Macaca mulatta: one gene and its partner. The protein of the gene in region 1 interacts with the protein of each later gene in a biochemical or structural test. Links are inferred from orthologs where the notes say so. Each region holds a gene or a part of one and is shown in the gene's direction. Other genes may lie near its edges. The genes, in order: SEMA4D and CD72.

The links.
Region 2: the proteins of SEMA4D (region 1) and CD72 form a complex in vitro, tested with the Homo sapiens proteins (2 studies listed by BioGRID and IntAct). The link is inferred for Macaca mulatta from reciprocal best matches to the Homo sapiens genes SEMA4D and CD72.

Annotation. Positions count from the first base shown.
Region 1 is NC_133420.1:120,172,531-120,177,012, reverse strand, and holds the start of SEMA4D (semaphorin-4D), read left to right. Parts: upstream 1-1,583; 5' UTR 1,584-1,748; intron 1,749-4,482. UniProt on the Homo sapiens protein: Cell surface receptor for PLXNB1 and PLXNB2 that plays an important role in cell-cell signaling. Regulates GABAergic synapse development. Promotes the development of inhibitory synapses in a PLXNB1-dependent manner.
Region 2 is NC_133420.1:64,082,736-64,085,992, forward strand, and holds part of CD72 (B-cell differentiation antigen CD72), read left to right. Parts: intron 1-2,462; coding exon 2,463-2,608; intron 2,609-3,257. UniProt on the Homo sapiens protein: Co-receptor of B cell receptor (BCR) that plays both positive and negative roles on B-cell functions. Recognizes the Sm/ribonucleoprotein (RNP) self-antigen ligand, and coligation of CD72 and BCR inhibits BCR signaling.

The DNA of each region.
Region 1 (4,482 bases):
ATGTTTCCATCCAAATGGGATGTGGAACATGGATTCGTGGACCCATACAATTGGAAAAGAGCTTGGAAAAGACTTCTCCTCTAGTTTTTTCTTGTAATAGTCACCAGCACTGAACCTGAGCACACAGTGCAGTGGGCTTTACCTGCCATTCTCTTTCCGTGCTCCCCAAACCTTCCAGGATGACCACACTGACCGTTGCGGGGTACAGAGGGCTGAGGCCTGAGGTTACCTTGGAAACTGCAGAGCTGTGAGTCAAGGGAGTCTATCAGATTCCAGGCCCTGACTCTTCAGCGGAGGGTGGTGGCTGCCACGCGGTAGAGGGAGGAGGGGGTGCATGCTGCACCCCACCCTGCTTGACACCAGCTTTGCCATCTTAGTCCTTGCTGGGCCCAAGCCCTGTTGTCAGAGCTCCGGCACTGAACCACAGGAACCACAGGAGGCCCCTGAAGGGAACTCTGTGACTGTTGGGTCTTTAACTCTGTGACTGTTGGGCCTGGGACAGGCTTCATTTGTAAACTCTGGCTCTCAGAGCAGTGCTCAGCAGGAAAACAGCTTCAGGACCCCTGGCCCTCAACAGCAGTCTGTAGTCCAGGGAGGTATCACCTGGCCTGGAGAGGGGCTCCCCAACCCCTCACATTTAGGGGAAATCCTAGCCGGTTCCATTAGGAACGGAGTCCCCTTCTCAGGACTGTGTTCCGCAATAGGCCTGCCGGCCTGGCCAGTCACCGTGCCAGCCCTGTCACCTCTCCTGGGGGCAGAGGGAGGAGGTCTGGATGGAGGAGCACCATCTCTGAGGGCCCCCAGATCCCCAAACCCATGGGCTAGTCACAAACACGCCTCACCAGCAACCTCACAGGAGGACCATTTGCCATCTAGAGTGGAAAACGAACGTTTAGCAAAAGGCTAGCATGGGGGTTCAGGGAAACCAAGCCTCCAGGTGGTGCCAGCCCCTGCTCCTGGGGAATAGGAGCAGTCCGGTGTGAAATATTCTTGCCCAAAGTCAGCAGCCAAGTGTTCTGGGTGCCACGTGCCACACCCACACTGCAGGTCAGGTTCTCAGAAGAGCTGGCTCAGGGTCTGGGGGTGAAAAAAACCTGGGGGATTTGGGGGAGGCCTGGAAAGGGTGGGGTTCATCCAGGACCCCAGAAGGGGCAAGCTTGTCTATTAACAGCTGGTGAGGAAGAGGGTGACAGGGCACCTCTTGGTTCTGGGAGGGTGCTTGACTCAGCACAGACCAAGCCAGGGCTGAGGGATAACCCTCTGGGCCTGGCGGGGAGGCAAGAGAGATGGGAGGTGAGGAGGAAGGAGTGGGAAGCAAAAGTGGGAAGAAGGGGAGAGAGGTGGAAGAGTGTTACGAAGGTGAAGAAAGACGAGGAAAAAGAGAAGAGAGGAAAAGAGAGGTTGGGGGAGGGGAAGGAGGGAGGTGAACAGGGGCGAGGAGGAGGGAGGAGGAAGAAAGGGGCGGGGCCAGGGGAGGGAAGAGAAGAAGGGGGAGGGGAAGGGAAAGGGGAGGAGGCGGGAAGGGAGGGGGAGCGGAGGAGGGGCCTGCGCGCCCGCCCCGCGCCCTCCGTCCCCGCGCCGGCCTCCGCGCCCTCGCGCGCCGCAGCATCACAGTCGCCGCCGCCGGGCCTCCCCGCCGCCCCTTCCCTGGCCCGGCCGCCTCCCGCCGCCGCCGCCGCCGCCGCCGCCATTCCTGGCGCCCGAACTCGCCCGGCTGGGAGCCGCCGAGAGCAGGAGGCGCGCTCCAGGTAAGCGGCTGGGCTGGCGCGGGAGGGAGGGCGCGCGAGGCTGGGCAGGTGCGCTGGGGGCGGCCTGGACCCTCCGCGGAGCCCCTGCTCCACACCTCTAGGCTCCTCCCCGGACCCTCGGGGCCCTCCTCGAACCCCTGCAGGAGCCCCCTTCTAAAATCCCCCGGACCCCTGGACTCCTTCCTGGATCCCCCCGGGGCCCCTCCCGGGACGCCTCCCGGAGACACCTACCCGGACCCCTCCCTGAACCCCTCCGACCCCCTGAACCCCTCTGCGATCCCTTCCCGGCCTTCTCCCCTTCCCGGTTGGCTCCCCAGTCCCTGCGCGCAGGTGGCTCCCCTGGGCGCGGGGGAGCGGGGGCGCGCTGCAGACCCCGGCCAGGGAGGGGGCGGCGCGCTCGGCCAGGCCCCGTCGCGCCCCGGCCCGCCCGGTCTGGCCCCGCTAGGTCAGGCCTCGCTCCGGCCAGCCCGGGCTCCGGCCGGGCCCCCGCGGGCTTCTATTTTGGTTGCGGAGGCCGCGGCCCCTGTGCACTGGACCCGGCGCCGCGCACTCAGACAGGTGGGGCAGGTTGGGCCGCAGTGGTCAGGTCGCCGCCTTGGCAGTGAGTGCTGCAGCTGCAGGCCTCGGTTTCCTTTAGGGTTTTGGCTGCATTATTGTAGAACAACCCAGGAGAACCACAAGCCTTAGCTTGGGCTGCACCTGTTGCAGCCGCCTGGTGAGCTGCAAGGGGCTGGCTCTACTGGGGTTATGCCAGTAAAAACATGTAAAGGAGAATTGAGCTCGTGGTTGTCCTCTTTATTTATCTGGCTTCGTATTTTGGGGGATAGGTGCGGGCGTGGGTGAATGGGAGTCTGTAGGTGGGCAGTTTGCGTCAAAAGAGGCCTGGTATTGAGGGCTGTGTCCTGCTTTCCGGAACGTTTGCCACATGAAGTTGCTTTGCTTTTGTTTGGAAAACCTCACTCTGTGTTGAGCACATCCCAGGCTCGTGGGTGGCCAGGCCCCCGAAGGCCAAGCTGGACGTGGGGCCTGGGGCCAAGCATCTCACCCTGCTGCTCTGAGTCTTTTCAAATCCACCAGGCGCCACTGAACGGAAGTTTCCTTTCCTGGGGGTGAAGTGACACCAGTGGCCTGTCACCTCATACGTGTCCTAGGCCTGGGGCCTGCCTGCTGGCTGCCCAGGCGAGGTTATTTGGTAATGTTTACTGTGTCCCAGAAACAGGCAGCTCTGGCCAGTGCAGGGGCAGGATTCTGGTAGAGATGATAATGCCCTGATTGTCGTTTTGACAGTTGGTGTCTGTGTATATCATGTCTTGGTAGTCGTCAGCCAGAAGAAGAAAGCAGGCGGGCTCAGCATACCCTTCAGGGAGGCTGGGGTGGGAGGATGAGGGATGCGCTGGCCTGTTTCTGTGGGCAAAGACTGCCCCCCCCAGAAGGCCAGACCTTCAGACTGAGAAAAGTGTACATGGTACACTCAGCAACTCAAACAAAGAAATAAAAACACATCACTGGTGCCAGGAGCAGCCCTGGGGTCCCAGGAGGGTGGGCTGCTCAGGAGTTGGTAGACGGAGGAGCTCAGTGGCTGTATGTCAGAGTGCAGACAGGCAAAGGCCACCGTGGGGAAGCCGAGCCCCAGCTGCCATGCTAGCCCAGGGTTTTGCAGCACAGCACAAGGGAGGCACTCCATGGGAGGGGGCCCAGCTCCTGACAAGCACACCCAGAGTCTGCTGAAAATGCAGCCTTGCACAGACCCTCTCTGAGAGCCGGGGGTCCTGGGCACTCAGCGTTTGGAGTGCAAGACCAGCGACCATGTTGCACTAGCTGTCCAGTGGGTCTGGGGCCAGGGAGATGTCCTTGGTGACATCATCCACTTGTGGACAGTCCTTTCCATGCGGACCACTGGAGGCAGGTGTTATCTAGAGCCACTTTCCCCACACCAAGCGGGTGCGTCCAGGCCAAAGCTTGGGAGTGCGCGCTAATGGCCGGCTTTGACTGAGGAGGGAGGGAACATCCGCGGCTGCCAGCACAACAGCAGAATCAATAATGCATTGCAAAGATCAATGATTTTCTCTATCTTCTGTGCTTCTGGATTGAGCCTGTTCAGGCTTCTGCCTCTCTTGGTTCCATTTCTGGTGGGGAGAGAGGGATGGTTGGGTCCAGGAGGTTGGTTGCAGATTCTCCTCCTGATCCCCTGGAGCCAGAGCTCCGGGGTTGGAGCTAGGACCCATGGGGGTGAAACTTGCCATGTGGAAATATAGGAATAAACGTGCCATGGGCTGACTATTGAGCTTAGTTGATGAGAGAAAGGCTGCTGCCTGCTGTTCCCAACCAGGGCAGTTATTTCTTCTTTGAACTTGGACGATTCCAGGAAGAAAACTGGAAGGTGAGAAGGGAGGTGGCAGAGGCACCTGGGATGGGTCCTCTCTTCCCTGGGCCAGGGTCCGCCCTGGGCTTGGCAGGTGCAGCTCCTCAGCCCTGCCCATTGCATCCCCATCCCTATCACTATTGCCATTCAGGGTCCGGGGCTGTCCTGGACGTCTCAGGGTGTCACTCAAGAGCTGAGCTTGTAGAGCAAGGGAGGAGCAGGCTCCCCTGCACACGACAGGGAGAGGTTTGCTGGGGACTTTGCTGTTGGGAGATGACATGGGAAAGCAGAGATTTATTAGGAGGAGATAGCTGCTGATTCAGTCAGGTGGAGAGGGTGTGCCAGGGCCTTCCCTGGAAGCCGGGTGGTGAT
Region 2 (3,257 bases), about 56 Mb from region 1:
CAGCACTCACAGTGAGGTGGAGCCTGGAGTTGTGGTGTAGGGAACTAGGATGGGGTGTCCATTCATTTTGAAAGCAGGACCCCAGCCAGTAGGTGGAGATGGGGAAAGGGACACATAAAAGAGGCAAGGCTGTGTCAAAACAGGCTGAGGGTCTAGGCAAGGTGCCAGGCCCAAGGGGACTGGGGTGTTTTTGGGCTATGATCAGGTTTAGGCTCTGTCTAGCTTGGGGTCATCTGGTCGATCTCCCCAGGCATAAGACAGCAAGATTATGTGCAGACGCCCCTTGCCCTCATTTCCTTAACCTGAACCTCTGTGATCATCAGTTCCATGCCAGGGCTGCCCATTCTCTTAGCAGCACCTTAGACCTCTACATCCCAAACTGCTCTTCTGGCAAAAGGATGGTTTCAGACTTCCACTCTGATCACAGCTGCCCACCACTCCTCCAGGTTTTCCCCAAACTTTTTTGATCTCATTGAGGCCTCCAATCTGCTGACTCCCCTTTTCCTCCCTTCCCATCAGCTGTCTCCTGTCCACACTTCTCTCCCTACCTATCATGGGTTTGGAGCCCATCACTTTTACTACTCACTTTTTTTTTTTTTTAATAGAGACAAGGTCTCACTATGTTTCCCTGGCTGGTATCGAACTCCTGGGCTCAAGCGATCCTCCTGTCTCAGCCTCCCAAAGTGCTGAGATTACAATCGTGAGCCACCGCACATGGCTCACTCGCTTCTTTGTTCCGTTATCCTTCTAGTGCACCTGATGGGCAAAATTTCAACTCTGGATGAACCCAACTGCCCACAGTCAGCACCAAGGTGTGACAAATTGTGGAATCATTTTGCTCAGTGCCACTGAGACTGTAGTCTCTCAGCACTGCCTGGCAACCTCTGCAGTGGTTAGCTTGCTCTCCATAATAACTCCTTCTCCCTCACTTTCAGCACATGCCCTCACCTTCCACTCTGAGAGGAATTCCCTCCACTTCCCATCACCAAGTCTATAAATCCATTTGGATTTTCCCCATCCTCATCTTTTGCAAGGATAGCTGCAACAACTTTCTAAATGTTTTTCCTACTCACTCCTCTCCCCGCAGTCCATTCTTCATATTGGAGCCAGGGTAATTCTTTACAAAAATCTGATCATGTCATCCCAATCTAGAGCATTCCAGTTAATTGATTACATAAACAGTTATGGAATACATAACAGATAATATGTTCTAGCACTGTGCCCAGGCACTTGGGATATAGCTAGTGAACAAAATTCCTCTGTGTAAAATCCTACACTGACTTTCTCTTTCTCATAATATAAAAATAAAAAATCCTTAACATAGCTTCCAACACCCCTGCCTACCTTTCAGTGTTCCACTTATCCCCTCACTTTCTTCCATTTGGCCATACGGATTTCTTTTCTTTTCTGTTCTGTTCTTTTTTTTTTTTTTTTTTTTTGAGGTGGAGTCTCACTCTGTGAGACTAAAGTGCACTCCCAGGCTGGAGTGCAGTGGTGTGATCTCGGCTCACTGCAACCTCTGTCTCCTGGGTTCAAGTGATCCTTTTGCCTCAGCCTCCCGAGTAGCTGGAATTATAGGTGTGCACCATAGTGCCTGGGTATTTTTTGGTATTTTTAGTAGAGGTGGGGTTTCACCATGTTGACCAGGCTGCTCTTGAACTCCTGACCTCAGGTGATCCATCCCGCCTTGGCCTCCCAAAGTGCTGGGATTATAGATGTGAGCCGTTGTGCCCAGCAGGGATTTCTTTTTATTCCTTTAAGTTGCCATAGGACAGTAACTCAAGGGAGTAGCAGGGTGGGGACATGAGATCATGTAGAGAGAACAGAGGGAGCTAGTGGGGAGTGAATGATTTTTGAATGATGAAGGTAGGACTGATGGAACAAAGCAATGGAGAGAGGTGGTCTGGGGATCAGAAGTGCAGATTGGGATGTAGGATGTTGAAGAAAGAGGGATATTTATTTCTTATGGATAGTCAGGAAAAGAAGAACAGAGAAGAGAAATTTTGAGGGAAATGGAGAGAGCTGTTTCTGCAAAACAGGACCCAACATTTTCTGCTTGTAGGAAATTGGAGAGGGAAGGAGGGGGCCAGTGCTGGAGGAGTGGAAGTCTTGGATGTGCAGTGGGGGGTGCTTTAGGGAGTGGAGGAGATGGGCCCAAGAGATGTTAGGTAAAGTGTCAGGGTGGACTGCAATTGTTCAGAAATTGGGGTAATAAAATTAGCCCTATTAAGACAAACCTCCTAGATTGCTAAGAAGTAATGTTGTTGAATGTTAAAGTCTTTTTACTAAGTAAGGACAGGTACGGTGTTTCCAGGGGATGCAAAAGAAAGAAAGATTGCAAAGATCATAGAAGTCCATGAAGGTGCTGAGATTAGCCCTAGGAGAATATTGTTAGCAAAAGATTGCTGAGTAGTTACTTTCATCCCAACTGTTGCTGCTATCACACTCTTTCTGCTTTTTAGACACCTGCTGTCCGACGGGATGGACAGTGCATCAGAAAAGCTGCTTTTACATCTCACCTACTTCGAAAACTTGGCAGGAGAGCCAAAAACATTGTGAAACTCTGTCTTCCAAGCTGGCCACATTCAGTGAAATTTATCAACAATCAGTAAGCATATCCTTACTCACAGACTATGGTGGGTACTATTCGGTAAAGGGACATATGTCATCAAGTCAGGAATGGCAGTGCATACATGGCTGGGGTGGCCATTCCTTTTCCGTGGAAGAAACTGAGAATCACAATACTCTTGAACTCTGAGCTTGGAAACAACCTCTGCATCTTCTCAGCACAGTGGTCCAGGCAGCCCCTACTAACTGATTAGAGTTGGCATGAGAGTAGAAACTTAGGAACCATATCTACATTTTTTTTTTTTTTTTTTTTTTGAGGCAGAGTCTCACTCTGTCACCCAGGCTGGAGTGCAATTCCATAATCTCAGCTCACTGCAACCTCTGCCTCCTGGGTTCAAGCAATTCTCCTGTCTCAGTTTCCCGAGTAGCTGGGACTACAGTCACACACCACCACGCCCAGCTAATTTTTGTATTTTTAATAGAGACGGGGTTTCACCATATTGGTCAGGCTGGTCTCTAATTCCTGACCTCAGGTGATTCACCTGCCTCAGCCTCCCAAAGTGCGGGATTACAGGTGTGAGCCACCGCACCTGGCCTCTACTTTAATCTGTATCTCATCTCAGCTTGCTAGTCAGCTCCCTGGGCTGCTTGACAGGTTCCTTGACTCTTGTGGCCTCTCAGGCAGAGAG